2 linked regions of the Callithrix jacchus genome follow. The protein of the gene in region 1 purifies or fractionates together with the protein of each later gene. This does not show direct contact. Links are inferred from orthologs where the notes say so. Each region holds a gene or a part of one and is shown on either strand. Other genes may lie near its edges.

What was found.
Region 2: the proteins of TAF9B (region 1) and TBP purify together in Homo sapiens (affinity purification with mass spectrometry; 3 studies listed by BioGRID and IntAct, with this or other methods). This does not show direct contact. The link is inferred for Callithrix jacchus from reciprocal best matches to the Homo sapiens genes TAF9B and TBP.

What each region holds. Positions count from the first base shown.
Region 1 is NC_133524.1:75,893,796-75,901,677, reverse strand, and holds the start of TAF9B (transcription initiation factor TFIID subunit 9B), read left to right. Parts: upstream 1-3,539; 5' UTR 3,540-3,554; coding exon 3,555-3,605; intron 3,606-4,242; coding exon 4,243-4,324; intron 4,325-5,083; coding exon 5,084-5,220; intron 5,221-5,302; coding exon 5,303-5,437; intron 5,438-6,483; coding exon 6,484-6,559; intron 6,560-7,882. UniProt on the Homo sapiens protein: Essential for cell viability. TAF9 and TAF9B are involved in transcriptional activation as well as repression of distinct but overlapping sets of genes. May have a role in gene regulation associated with apoptosis.
Region 2 is NC_133505.1:177,175,246-177,183,195, forward strand, and holds the start of TBP (TATA-box-binding protein), read left to right. Parts: upstream 1-3,933; 5' UTR 3,934-4,028; intron 4,029-4,182; exon of another isoform or gene 4,183-4,549; intron 4,550-6,425; exon of another isoform or gene 6,426-6,428; 5' UTR 6,429-6,576; coding exon 6,577-6,630; intron 6,631-7,950. Other genes in the region: PSMB1 (proteasome subunit beta type-1), read right to left, coding at 2,789-2,901. UniProt on the Homo sapiens protein: The TFIID basal transcription factor complex plays a major role in the initiation of RNA polymerase II (Pol II)-dependent transcription.

The DNA of each region.
Region 1 (7,882 bases):
GATGAAACCCTGTCTCTACAAAAATATATATGTGTGTGTGTGTGTGTGTGTAAACTAGCTGGAAATCACTTGAACCTAGGAGGCAGAGGTTGCAATGAGCCAAGATCGCACCACTACACTCCAGCCTGGGCAACAGAGTAATACTCCATCTCAAAAAAAAAACAAAAAAACAAAACACACATGTGAATGTTCATTGCAGCACTATGCAAAATAGTAAAGACATGGAATCAACCTAAATGCCCATCAATGACAGATTATATAAAGAAAATGTGGTACACATACACCATGGAATATTATGCAGCTATAAAAATGAACAAGATCAGGTCTTTTGTGAGAACATGGATGGAGCTGGAGGCCATTATCCTTGGCAAACTAACACAGGAATGGAAAATCAAATACCACGTGTCCTTACTCATAAGTGGGAGGTAAATGATGAAAACTCACGGACACAAAGAGGGGAACAACAGACAATGGGGCCTACTTAAGGTTGGAGGGTGGGAGGTGGGAGAGGATTAGGAAAAATAACTATTGGGTACTAGGGTGACAAGATAATCTGTATGACAAACTGCTGTGACACAAGTTTACCTATATAACAAACCTCCACATAGATCCCTGAACATAAAATAAGATTTTTTTAATGTGGTGCTTATATATAACGGAGTACTATTCAGCCATAAAAAAGAATGAGATCCTATCATTTGCAACCATATGGATGGAACTGGAGATCATTATGGAAAGTGAAATAAGCCAAGCACAGAAAGACAAACATCACATGTTTTACTTATTTATGGGATCTAAAACTCAACACAGCTGAACTCATGGACACAGAGAGCAGAAAAATGGTAACCAGAGGCTTGAAAGGATAGTGGGAGGGTAGAGGGGCAGATAGGTTTATGTGTACAACAAAATAGAAACAACGAATAAGACCTGATATTTGCTAGCACAACAGGGTGACTATAGTCAGTAATTTAATTGTACACTTTAAAACAACTAAAAGTACAATTGGACTGCTTGTAATACAAAGGATAAATGCTTAAAGAGATGGATATCCTATTTTCCATAATGTGATTGTTTCACATTGTGTGCATGAGTCAAAACATTTCATGTACCCCATAAATATACTTACTATATACACAGAAAAATTAAAAATTAAAATTATATATAGATAGGTGATAGCTGTTTATCTTATTGTATTTATATTCTTTTAAAAGTCGTATCCTTCTGTATATAAAGAATACACACCACAACTTACAAAATGTAAATGTGCAAGAGTTAAAACAAATTGTGACAGAGGACAGAAATATAATGAAAAATCGTTAGATTTTCTCACACCTATTATTTAACTTATACTACTGTTAATACTAATGGCCACTGTTTAGTCCTAATGTTTTGTTTAAATAGCACTTATGTAACAGAAAATAATACATAAAAAACATATAACTTCAAATACTTATTCTTAAGTAATGATACATATGCACAATTATTTATGTTATGGGTTTTCTTCATCTAGTACATCTATGTCCTGGGTTGGCTCTCTGAAGGTTGGTCACCCTAAGATTATAGTACCATCTTGTTTATATAAAAAATATATAAACAAGATACTATTTGTAAATTGCATAGAATAGAAACTGGTAAACAATGGTGCCTTCTGTGAAAGTGACATCAGTGGCCGGAACAGGTAAGAAAGATTTTCTTTTAGTAGGATATTTTAAAATACTCTTAAATGTTGTACTCTGCAAATATACCAGCTATTTTTTTTTCTTTTTCTGAGACGGAGTCTGGGCTCACTGCAGCCTCCACCTCCCTTGTTCCAGCAATTCTCCTGCCTCAGCCTCCTGAGTAGGTGGTACTACAGGCATGAGCCACCATGCCAGGCTAATTTCGGTATTTTTAGTAGAGAAAGGGTTTCACCATGTTGGCCAGGCTGGTCTCAAACTCCTGACCTTAAGTGATCAGCCCGCCTGGGGCTCTCAAACTGCTGAGATTATAGGCGTGAGCCACTGTGCCCAGCCTCCACCTATTTTTAAATGTTGTATCCTGCAAATATTGTAAACCAAGGGAACTGTTATTAATTTTACACAGAGGCTGGCCACAGTGACAGTGGGGAAAGGCACCGTCTCAGCATGGGAGCACATGCTCTCACTGGAAACAATGTATCGATAACACGTGTTTCTTGGCACTCCGGCCCAAACTTCAAGATGGCGGACGAGTGGACGGCTGGTTGTGGCGAGTCTGATAAGGTGAGCTGCTCCACAAAACTGAAGGGCCCACTAAGCCTGAGAAATCAGTATGTATTTGTGTATGTGTTTGTGAGGAGAGTTACTGGAGGGTTTTAAGGAAAACAGTGATTGGATTTATAACTAAAAGGTACCTCTAGCTGTGTAAGAAAGGGGAGGGGGACCCTATTTGGGGAGCATATTTCCGTAATCTTGATGAGTAAGGATGTTGGCTTGGACTCGTTAGCATCATAGTAGTACTGGATGGAGATGTGTGAAGACATGGATAGAAATTTGGGAGGTCACCCGGACAAGACTTGTTGCTAGATTGAGTGTGGATTGTGAGGTAAACAGCAATATGGCTGCCTGCCGGTTACACCCTCCGGCCTGAGCGAGTCGTGGTGCCTCTTCCTGAGATGGAAAATGCTAGGGCATTGGTGGATGTGGAGGGTAAGAATGAGTTATCTGCGACATTTTAAGACAGACATAGTGAACTGATGCACATTTTTGAAAGTCACTGGGGCTGGATGGTCGGTTCTTACGAAAGTTATTCGGGCTGTTCTGTGGGGAGGGGCTGGGAAGGGTGTAACTGGGAGGCAAGGAAAGGTCCTGCGTTTGGCCTCAACGGGGACAGACAGGAAGCTGCTCAAAGCCAAGTGAAGGCTTTAGTTTTTCATCAGGGTGAAATGGGCAGCCACAGTAGGGCTTTGAGTGTGACAAGAGCAGACCAAAGACCGGCTGTATGGAGAGCAGTCTATTGGGTAGGGTTGCCAGATTTAGCTAATAAAAATCCCGGACACCCGTTCAAATATGAATATCAGATCAACAATTATTTCGTAGCATAAGTACGGCCCATGCGAATTTGGGATATACTAAAAATGTATTCCTTGTTGATATAACATTCAAATCTAACGGGTCCAACTGTGTTGTACCAAGCAGCCCTAACACTAACTAGGTCTGGAATTTCTGTAAGCCAAAAGGGGCGATGGTAGAAGCGGTGGAGGTGTCAGGAGGGACCCCCGCAAAGGTGAGCTTTTCCCATTTGGTGCCCTTTGACTCAGAACAACTCTGGGAAGTCGAGCCTCTCGGCTCTTCTACTTCTTTTAGCCCATAGCAGGCTCCACGGGGAAGGATTCCCTGCCTCTTCCAATCCTTCTGACCACTGACGCCCGAGCGCGTCTCTTCCCCCTGGCCAGCGTCTTGCTGAAACTCCCGCCCCCGGCGGCTGGCACGTAACCCCGCCTTCTACTTCCCTCCTCCCGCTCCCCGCAGGGGTGGGGCCTGAGTGAGGAGACCGCGAGCTGCCCCCTCTCCCCGGATGACGAGTCCCTGGATAACATGGAGTCGGGCAAGATGGCGCCTCCCAAGAACGCTCCGAGAGATGCCTTGGTAAGTGCGAAGGATGAGCGGCGGAGCGCGAAGCCGGGTGCGGCCAGGGACCTGCGAGGCAAGGCCACGTTGAGGGCCTAAAGGCGGACTCGCGCGCTCACTTCAGTCCAGTCAGGGCCGCCAGGAGGAGAGGGTGATGGGGATGCGCCCTGGCCCCGGGGCCCCTCTCTCGCCGCTCGGGCCAAGCCTTACCAGGGGGTCGCGGTCCAGCAAAGCTTGCGGAACGGCTGCCCAGCTTTGTGTCCTGGGCTTCGGGCCCCTGCCGCCTCCTCGTCTCGACCTGCCAGCCTTGACTCCGCGTCCAGGGTTCTGATGCTAGCTTAACTCGCTGCCAAAACCAAAAATGACAGCCAGCTGGAGCTACCCCTACTTCTGCTGGAGAACCCAACTCCTGTCTTCTCTTTGCCCCCCCCCCACCGGTCCCCAACCCCGCCAAAAAATAAAAATAAAACTTTTCAGCAAAAGCGTACTATGCGATTTGGTGTGATCACTGACTCACTTGGGAGGACAAGGGTGAGTAGAACTTTGAAGCCCAAAGAAAGGGAACCTTGTATAATAAATGTAAATACTACCCTTCAGGCTAGCCTTGATTTCCAGTACCAAATTCTGCATCTGGCGTTTTTATTTGAATCCACAGGTGATGGCACAGATCCTGAAGGATATGGGAATCACAGAGTACGAACCAAGGGTTATAAATCAAATGTTGGAATTTGCTTTCCGTAAGTTAAACACCAAAAACTTGCCTAACTTGTGAATTTGAAAAGATATTTTTATTGTAGGAAGTTTTTTTTTGAGACAGGGTTTTCCTCTGTCGCCCAGGCTGGAGGGCAGTGGCACAATCTCGGCTCATTGCAGCCTCCCCCTCCTGCCTCCCATTGCAGCCTGAACCCTCCTGGGTTCAAGCTATTCTCATGCCTCAGCCTCCTGAGTAGCTGGGACTACAGGCACGCACCACCACGCCGGGCTAAGTTTGGTATTTGTAGTAGAGGCGGGGTTTTGCCACACTGCCCAGGCTGGTCTTGAACTCCTGACTCGGGTTATCTGCCCATCTCGGCCTCCCAAAGTGCTGGCATTACAGGTAGTGCCCAGCCTTGTGAGAACATTTTCAACTAAATTACGTTAATAGAATCATAGGATTCAGCCTAAAGCAGTTAAAAAGGAGCTCGAGCTAGGGGACAGTAGTACTCACGTGGTTATATCTGTTTAAAATTGATCATATAGACAGGACAATTAGCTATTAAAGGCAGCATTTAGGCTGGTCACAGTAGCTTACACCTGTAATCTCAGCACTTTGGGAGGCTGAGGTGGGAGGCCAGGAGTTCGAGTTATGCCTGGGCAACATAGTGAGACCCCATCTCTTCAGAAAACAAAAAATTCATAAACTGTCTACAAATTAGTGGAAACTTGTATTAAGACAAATAGCCATAAATACTAAGCTGTCTTCATATGTTTAAGAAAAGATTGTTTTGTTCTTAAAGGATATGTGACTACAATTCTGGATGATGCAAAAATTTATTCAAGCCATGCTAAGAAACCCAATGTTGATGCAGATGATGTGAGACTGGCAATCCAGTGTCGTGCTGATCAGTCTTTTACCTCTCCTCCCCCAAGAGATGTGAGCAAACTTTGATTTGAAGTTATTTTTACTTAAAATTTTTTAATCTGTAGTTCTAATAAGGATTTTTTTTCTTTTTTAGTTTTTACTGGACATCGCAAGGCAGAAAAATCAAACACCTTTGCCACTGATTAAGCCATATGCAGGACCTAGACTGCCACCTGATAGATACTGCTTAACAGCTCCAAACTACAGGCTGAAGTCCTTAATTAAAAAGGTAAGAAATTTTAGTCAAGTTGGCTTTTTTCAAAAGGTGGGATATGATAGGGGTCTTTGTGAAAAGTAAATTCCTGTAGCTAGTAAAGGTTAAGATAACGGAATTTTTTTAATTTTCAAAAAATGTATACCTAGAAGGAACTTTCGTGTTCATTTAATGCAACAATCATTTTTCACATCAGGAAGTGGAGCCTGAACTCATTTATGAAGTTAGTAGCAAAGCTAGGACTGATTCCAAGCCTCATAACTCCCAATCTTTCCACTATTCGTAGTTTTTTTAGTGAGGCCTAATAACAGAGGGAATGATATACCATCAGGAATTGGGCCAGCTTTCTGAAATATGACCTAAAGCTCTCCCACCACTGAAAAAGTTATCCCCACAATAGGGTGCCTTTGTTTTCTTAAGTTCCACTATAAGAGTTTTATTCCTTTTTGGGTTAAGAAATTGACTAGTTAAGATTAAAAATCACAAGTTAGTTGTTATCCCCATTCAAATAACACTCTATCTTAAACTTTAATATTGAATAGGATTATATATGTATTCATATCTTTTTTTCCCCCCCAAGATGGAATCTTGCTGTCACCCAGCTGGAATGCAGTGTCACAATCTCAGCTAACTGCAACCTCTGCCTCCCAGGTTCAAGCAATTCTTCTGCCTCAGCCTCCCAAGTAGCTGGGATTACAGGCACCTGCCACTGCGCCCAGCTACTTTTTGTATTTTTACTAGAGACAGGGTTTCAGTATGTTGGCCAGGCTGGTATTGAACTCCTGACCTCGTAATCCACCCGTCTCAGTCTCACAGAGTTCTGGGATTACAGGCGTGAGCCACCGCACCTGGCCTTCATATCTATTTTTACATAGATAAAGACATGTATATATGTTTATGCAAACACCAGATTAAATGTTGGACTTAAAACACTGATAGAACAAAAACAGGACTTTCTTGCCATGAATTATCCATAATCATTTACAACAATAATCCTAATTTCATTCCTGGAAAATTAAGGTGTCACATCTTAACATTAATTTGTTTTTTAAATCTCCTAGGGACCTAACCAAGGGAGACTAGTTCCACGATTAAGTGTTGGTGCTGTTAGTAGCAAACCTACCACTTCTACTATAGGTAAGTGAAAGGAGAAAATGGCTTTTCTGGCTGGTAAAGCAGTACCTCAGCACTTGGTTTTGAACTATAATGCAAGACAAAAATTGAGTCAAATTCTGTATATGTGTTATTAATAATTTTATTCATCCTCTAGTAAAACTATAAATATACATGTAACTGAATTTCAAAATGAGAAAGACACAAGGAACATCTGATCTCGAATGAGTATAAAATTAGACATTGCCCACATTGTTGTTGGTATAAACTCTGATACCAAAAACAGGAGTTTACCCTTAGCTGTGTACTTTATGCTTTCTATACAAATGTATGTGTCCTTTTGACAGATCTGTGTCATTCTGTGAGCTTTTTTTGCTTTCTGATGCAATAAGATGTTCCAAACTCATGCTTTCCTGCCCAGTTCCTAGAATCATCTACTTCTCCAAAGAGCTGTGGTTCCTTTTGGTGGAGAATGGTATTCAGAATCCATTATTTGTTTCTTTTTAATATCATTGTTGTTTAGATAGTAAGGAAAACAAATAATGTACTTAGATTTTCTGACTTTTTTTCCTACATTCCTGCTGGGTTCCTTGCATAGTCTAGTAATCAAAGTATTTTCAGAAAAATCCCTCTTCATCAGTATTAAATTATTGGCTCTTATTGCTTATAACTTGAGTCCCATGGCTGCCGTATAGCTCAAGTATAAAGAGCATTTGATTTTTGAGGTGTGTAAACCCTCTCTTCATATTCTCAGGATGTAAATTTGCATTTCAGCATTGTAAAGCCACTTTGGTATAGTATCAGTTGTACATGTCTAATTACCCACCTGTGACCCTTGTGGACAGAAATCTGCATTATAATCTTTGTAAATTTTCATCATATTCTGTTTGTGGATTCACATTACTTAAATGAATACCAACTATTTTAGGCTGGTAATCAGTTTCATATGCTAGGCAGGTTAACTAATTTTAGTTATCAGTTGTGATTTTTATTCCTAGCTAGACATTTGTTCTACATACTTCAGAGATTTTTTTAAATGTAGAGGGCACTACCAAAACATACCTGATAGTTTTAAAGATGCAAGGTTTTTTTGTTATCTTGTTTTTTGTTTTTTTGAGACACAGTCTTACTCTGTCACCCAGGCTGGAGTGCAATGGAGCAATCTTGGCTTACTGCAACCTCCGCCTCCCAAGTTCAAGCAATTCTCCTGCCTCAGCCTCCCAAGTAACTGGGATTACATGTGTGGGCCACCACACCCAGCTAACTTATGTTGTTGTTTTTTTTTTAATAGAGACGGGGTTTCACCATGTTGGCCAGGCTGGTCTTGAACTCCTTACCTCAAGTGAT
Region 2 (7,950 bases), on another chromosome or scaffold:
AGAAAATTCCAAATGCCAAGCTAAAGATTTTGGAATTTTAGCAAGGTATGATGAAGGTTTTCTGAGCAAGAATGATCTGTAGTTGTAACTACTCAGGAGGCTGAGGAGGGAGGACTGCTTGAGCCCAGGTGTTCAAGGCTGCAGTGAGCTATGACTGTATCTGGGCATTTTAGAGTGAGACCTGGTCTTTAAAAAAAGAAAGAGAGAGAGAGAAAAGTCCCATTTAAAAAGTGGGGTTTTAGGAAGACTACTCTGACAATACATAATTATGAAATGGGATGGAAATATTGTTCTAATACTACTAACACAATGGTAAGGTAGCAGGTGAACAGGGAACGAACAGGTAAATCCAAAATCATCACAAATACACAAAATAGACATGTTTTTATATCTACTTAAATGTGTTAGGAACTGGGAAAACCAATAATAACATCCAAGGTTTAGAACTTATATGAGCAGAATGATGGCATAATTATAAGTATTTTAATGGTGGAGAGGAGGCTGGGCACAGTGGCTCATGCCTGTAATCCCAGCACTTCGGGAGGCTGAGGCAGGCGAATTTCCGGAGTTTGAATTTGCCTGAATTCAAGAGTTTGAGACCAGACTGGCCAACACGGCGAAACCCCTCTCTACTAAAAATAGAAAAAATTAGCCAGGCGTGGTGGTGGGTGCCTGTAATTCCAGCTACTCAGGAGGCTGAGGCAGGAGAATTGCTTGCATTCGGGAGGTGGAGGTTGCGATGAGCCGAGACTGTGCCACTGCACTCAAGGCTGGGCTACAGAGTGAGATTCCATCTCAAAAAAAAAATAATAATAATAAAAACAAAGGAGGAGAGGAAATTGAGAGGAATAATTAGCTTGCTTTTTGTTTTGTTACCTGTCTTGATTTACCATAAGAGCAGAAAAACCCGATAGAAATGTTTTTCTGGCCAGGCATGGTGGCTCATGCCTGTAATTTCAACACTCTGGGAGGCCGAGGTGGGCGGATCACCTGAGGTAGAGTTCAAGACCAGCCTGGCCAACATGGTGAAACCCTGTCTTCATAAAAATGAATGAATGAATGAATGAATAAACAAATAAAAAGAAACGTTTACTGAAGAAGCAAGAATCGAGGGACTCATGAGAGGCAGAACTAAAAAATCAGATTTGGGATTAATCCTCCCAGGAATGAGACATTAAGAGTGCTGAGTGATAAAGCACCTAATGATTTGTTTAACTACATCTAAAGAGAGTAGAAAGAAAGAACTAGGCCTCATTTTGTGGAAGCAAAGACTACCTGAGAGCCAGCTGCAATAAACACGAAAGAAAAAGAACAAACGCTAAGGAAAAGTAATCAGAAAGTTCTAAGTAACTTTTAGGGCAGTAATGGCATAAACCGAATTACAAGGGAGTAAAAAGCGAGTAATGAGTAGGGCATACTTAACACTGAAAATTCTTATTTATGGGAAATAGTCTTACAAAATGGGTCCAATAACCCTCCCTACAATATATAACTTAATGAGTCATCACAGGAAGTGTTAGAGGATTAAATAAGATGACGGCTTACAATTTACAAAATACATCTCTCATGTTTCTCACCAAAAACTATGAAGCTGCTAAGGAAGATAAGGAAATTTAGGTTCAAGAAGTTCAGAAGTACCCAAAGACCACACTATCCTTTAGTGGCAGAATCGAAGCTAAAATCAGTCTTTCCTTATCTATCACACTCCAAAAACGTGCGTTAATATTTGAAATTTATGAGGAAGCAATTAATATTTTTGCTTTTTAAATTTTTTTAAAGTTTTTTTTTGTAGAGATGGGGCTGGTCTTCAACTCCTGGCCTCAAGAGATGATCCTCCTGTCTTGGCGTCCCAAAGTGCTGGGATTACAGGGGCGAGCCATGGTGCCCAGCCAATATTTTTGATTTTCTTAAAGAACCATCTGTTCTAAATTGAGTGTTTATATTTTAATATACTAAGCTTAATTGATAACTATAACCACTGCTTAAATTTACAGCTCTTCCCTGTCAAGACTCTTAAACAGAGCATCTTTCTGTAACTCTAAATCTCTGGTGTACCACCACGGGAAATTTTATTACTCAAAATAAAGCTGGTAATTAAAATAAAAACCAAACTTGAACATGCAAGAACCCACATATTACAAGGTCCATCTTCTATTTTTTTTTTCCTGAACTTAAGCCGAACGTTAAAAAAAAAAAAAGCACTTATCTACGAAATTGTTTGCTCAATCAATCCCACCTTCTATTTGAAATAAAAGACAATGACTAAACTGCACAATTAGAGATAACGGAAGTCAGGCAGCTACAATGAGACGTTCCCTACCGACACAACTATGCATCTAACAACACAGACCAAACAATCCTAACTTTTTAGTTTCAGACGCTAGACCTCTGTCCTCGCCTGCTGGCTTAAGAAACGTGTTCAGACTCTGCGAAAAGCTAAGATAGTTTTAAAGGTCTTCCATATGGGCGGAAGCTGTCGACCGTCTTACAGCAGCAAGGAGCATGGAGTGGCGGTCCGCACAGACCCAGCCAACCAGGCGGTAATGGGAAACCCTAAAAACCGAGGCTGTATCGCAATCACCAAGTAAACCAGAGCAAAGCGAGCCTAAAGGGGGAAACAGCGCAAGAGAGGACGGCAGGAAGACCGGCCTTGTGCGGACCCACTCAGCTCAGGGTTCTGAGGCCTGCAGGGGATCTGGGCAGCGCCTTCGCGGCGGTGACCCCCAAATAGGCTTCAGCAGATGGGGGGAGGGCGAAAGTGAAAGCTGCGGCTCTCAAGGGTTTTTACCCTCCGTTGAAAGCGTAGGGCGAAAATCGTAGCTGCAGAGGTCCCGCAGCTCTGTGCGGCTCCATTCCCAGCTCTCTGCCAGGACCCGAATACATGGCTGTAGAGGACAACATCTCACTGAAGCGCCCGCAACTCCGGCCGCTACTCCTGCTGCCTCACGGCGAGATGGCCGCCCTGACCGGACGTTACGCCACTTCCGGCTTTCCTGTAACTCGCTCCCGGCCTCTCTATCTCGCACTAGTCGTTGCTCCTGGAGGGCTGCTCTGCCGCTAGTCCCTTTCATAGTTGGGTCCTGCCCATTACCAGAAAGATATTAAGGTTTTTGTTTTTTGTTTTTCCCCCGAAGAAAAGATTGGAATTCACCCATATGGACAAAATTTTAAAAGTCTGACCGTGCAAAAATTTGCCAAAACTGTGGAGCAACGGCAACTGGAATAATAGTAACAGCCTAAATTGTCCTGGCTAATACAAAATGTATGTAACATTTCCTATCCTTAAAGAGCTCACAACCTCACTGATAATAGAAAGTCCAAAGGAAACAAGCGGTATAATATATGATTCCGCCAAAACGAACTATAGAAGGTAAAATAAAGGCGTGCTGACGTCCCACTAGGAAACAACTGCGGATCGAGCCTTTGACCACAGTGCCTGAAGCGGCTTGTGTTTTGCTTAGTGTTCCTAGTCATTCTACACGCTTGAAGATCAGCTAGCGTTGTTGCTGACAGGTAAGGAGCACGCGCTTACTGAGTGCCAGGCACTGCTCAGGCATTGACTGTCAGTCTCCAGAGAGCCCAAAGTTAAGCACTAGTATCATCATTATTAAATTTTACAGAAGAAACTGCGGGGAAGAAGTCAGGGAACTTGCCAACGGTAACGCCTCTAGTTGCTTGAAACACACACACCATTTAAAAATTGATCTTTCCTATGCCCAGCAAGGGCCAATTAGAGACAGCGGTGGTGCGCCCGCCCAGTCCCGGAACTCCTCAAGAGCTTCGCCCCTCCTTCCCTTAAACTACACGCCTACGGAAACACAGGAAGTGAGCAAGTGCCCACACTTCGCATGGCCACGACCCCAGTGAGAACAATTCGCTGAAGCCGAGGGCAGAACTGGCGGAAGTGACATTATCAACGCGCGCCTGGAGTTCAGTGGGGTCGGGCAGGGTTCCTGTGGCGGGCGCCTGGGCCGCCGGCTGTTTAACTTCGTTTCCGCGGGCTCATAGTAATTTCTGCAGTGACCCAGGTAACAGCTTGTCCTCTTTTCTGAGGGTTCGGGCGGAGGCGACCACTGCATTGAGGCCTGGGGGCGATGGTGGGGAAGAGACAAGGAATTGGCGCGCGCAGGCCCTGCAGGGGACGTTCCTCCCGCTCGTGCTGCCGCCGTTCCGGCCTGTAACGGCCACTCGGCCGCCGCTTTCGCCTGGTGCCCTATTCCGCTGTGGTTCGCAAGCGGCTTCCCGTCATACGAGCGTGGGGCGCAGGGTACTGGCGGGCTCGGCGGCGGCGGGCGGGACAGGGCAATCCCTTGCATCGAAGACCCGAAGTTTATTCTGCCCTGGCCTGCCACCCGCTTCTTCTCCATGTTTGAAGGCAGATTCACTGTGGTCTGTGCCCGCCTATTTTGCTACCAACATTGAGACTTAAATACTTTGTCAGAAGCCTGAGACAGCGGACACAGTAGCGCTTAAGATACAGTACACATCACTTTGTTTACAGGGCCTCCCATCTCTCGGTTCAGGCCATCATGGTTTTCCAAATCTCTAGGTAGGCTTTTCTGTGAAAAGACTATGCTTCATTTAGATATACAGACACTAGAAGGCTATGCAGAGTTAGATTGCCTCCAAAAAATATCGAATTTGATGTTTCAATTTCGAAGAGATGAAGAGACCCAGCAAACAACCCTTTTCTAGGGAGAAAGTGCAGTAACCACTGTGCGGTTTCTTCTGTAGACTTACGTGCAAAAAGTGATAAGAGCCTACCAATATTTGCCGTCTCATCTCCTGTAGTGACCTATACAGTCATACTAAGCTTGTCACCTTCATACGGCATGCTTTTTCAATGTTACCTCGTTTATCTGAAGCCCTGACCTGTAAATTCCTATTCACCTTGTGAGACCCAAGTTAGATGGTCCTTGTTTTGTGAAAACACTGCCCCTCTTCATAGTAGTGTGCTGTTAGTCTATATGTCTTCTCTTCCAGGGGCATATATGCACTTATTCATGATCACATACTGTATTCCAGGCATAGTGCTAGATGCAGGGATGACAAAGACTGGTTTCTACATTCAAGAAACTTAGCTGGCCGGGCGCGGTGGCTCACGCCTGTAATCCCAGCACTTTGGGAGGCCGAGGCGGGTGAATCACGAGGTCAAGAGATCGAGACCATCCTGGTCAACATGGTGAAACCCCGTCTCTACTAAAAATACAAAAAGTTAGTTGGGCGTGGTGGCGTGTGTCTGTAATCCCAGCTACTCAGGAGGCTGAGGCAGAAGAATTGCCTGAACCCAGGAGGCGGAGGTTGCGGTGAGCCGAGATCGTGCCATTGCACTCCAGCCTGGGTAACAAGAGCGAAACTCCGTCTCAAAAAAAAAAAAAAAAAAAAAAAAAGAAACTTAGCTTAGGGCACACCTGCTATTATACTATGTTTTATAGTAATGATTTGCATACCCTTTATATTGAACATTTTGATGCCAAGGACTATAACCTCCTAATCTTTACATCCTCATCTGCATCACTTCTGTTATTGTTATTATACGGTAACTGTCAAAAAGTATAATTTTAAAAACATCTCTGATATTTTTATTTTCAGAAGCAGAGTTCGCTTGCTTTCTTTTTTGGCCATTTTTTCAGTGATGAGTAGGTAGGATACAGAGTCTGGGGGCCTTAGCCCTTTCAAAGCGATCCTCAGAATCTTTCATTCCTTCACAAATATCTGAGTGTCTATTGTGTACCAGCACATGCTTGAAGTGCATATGCCTGAAGGGTCTTTGGACATATAATTTGTAACTTTGAGACCTGAAGTTCTGGGTGAGAATATGTTGTTATTATAAACTCATTTCAGATATGGACATGAGTAAAGAGATGATGATTTAAGAAAAGCCAGATAACAGGCACGGTTTGCATTAATGTGTTCTAAAGAGGTAAGGTTATTATTTACAAAAATGCAGGGTTTTATCTTTGTGCAGCTTTTTTTTTTAGTTTTATTATAGTAGGAGCTCAATAACTGATCACTGAAGTATATTTACTTAATTTTTTGCCCAAGACATTATAGAGGATATAAAATTGGAATAAAGATCTGAACTTTGCTTAACTGTGCTGTATATACAGTGCTTAACGAATACTCTGCTGTGATATTACAGTTTGCTTAGGAATTAGTTTCCTCTCAGTATTTTTCCTCAAAAGTTTTTGATGCATCATCATAGTATTTAAATGCGTAACAAAATGACTTTTGTTGGCGATTTTACATGTAATCACAGGAAACATGGAAGGAATAAGACTTCAGGATTATAAAGCAAAAGGCAATGTATTCCAAAATAGCTTCATTGGTTTTCTTGTTTGTGTTTTGTATAGCCATGGAACTGGCTTATAGGACTGTACAGGTTACCTGAATCCTTACATTAAACTTCAGGCTTTTTTCCAAAGCAGCATCACTGTCTCTTGGTGTGTGAAGATAACCCAAGGAATTGAGGAAGTTGCTGAGAAGAGTGTGCTGGAGATGCGCTAGGAAAAAATTGAATGGTGAGACAAGTTCCAGCCCAAGGGTTTCTGGTTTGCCAAGAAGGAAGTGAACATCATGGATCAGAACAACAGCCTGCCACCTTACGCTCAGGGCTTGGCCTCCCCTCAGGTAATACAGCAGGAGGAAGAGAATGAGAACAGGGAGGGCAGAAATATGTACTTCAAGAGATGGTATCAAAGGGAAGGAAGGGTATTTAATGATCTGTTTTTGAAAATGATTTTATATATATTTTTAAGCCTTATTTTGTTGAAACTTTCTATTAGGCTTTGAATTGGCACAATAGTGTTTTATTTGGGGAGTCTGTTTGGAAGCTAAATTAAATATTTGTTAATAAAACATTAATCTTTTGGTAAACACTTATGAGAATGTTCCAAATGATTATATAGGTTCTTTGATTTTGAAAATCACCGTCATCAAATTATTTTCTAGTTTTATTTTTCCCTTTTTACATTTCAAGCTCTCAACCACCCATCTACTTTAATAATTTTTCTGGCTAGGAGTGGTGGCTCACGCCTGTAATTCCAGCACTTTGGGGAGGCCAAGGTGGGCAGATCACCTGAGGTCAGGAGTTCGAGACCAGCCTGTTGATACCCCATCTTTACTAAATATTCAAAAATTAGTCAGGTGTGATGGCGGGTGCCTGTAATCCCAGTTACTCAGGGGGCTAAGGCAAGAAGAATTGCTTAAACCTGGGAGGCGAAGGTTGTAGTGAGCAGTGATCATGCCACTACACTCTAGCCTGGGGAACAGAGCAAGACTCGATCTCAACAAAAAAAAAAATCAGTAACTTCTGTTCAAATATAATTTGTATACAATAAAAATACTCATTTTAAATGTCAGTTGTTCTGATAATGTATGTACCTGTGTAAGTTAGGGAACATTTCAATTACCTTAGAAAGTCCTTTCTTCCCCTTTATAGTCACTTGGTTGGCCCTAGGCAACTACTGAATCTGCTTTTCAATGCTAAAGATTAGTTTTGTCTATTCTAGAATTTCATATAGATGGAATCATACAGTGTATGCTTTTTTATGTATGTATGAGTTCCTAGCCCAGTATACTGTTTGTATATCAGTAGCTAATCCATTTGTATAGCCAAGTAGCTCTCCGTTGTTTGGATGTTCCACAGATCCATTCTCCAGTTGATCACATTTGAGGTCTTTCCAGTATGGAGCTATTATGAATAAAAGCACTATAAATATTTGTGTAGACTTTGAATTCACTGTGATTTCTCATGGGTAGGTACTTAGGAGTAAGACTGCTAGGTCCTTTATCAGTGTATGTATAACTTTATAAGAAACTGCCAAGCCGTTTTCTGAAGTGGCCATAGTGTTTTGCAGCGTGAGAGAATTTTAGTTGCTCCACATCCTCACCAACACTTTGTGCTGTCAGTCTTTCTACTTTTCCTTTTACTCTAGTGATTGCTTATAG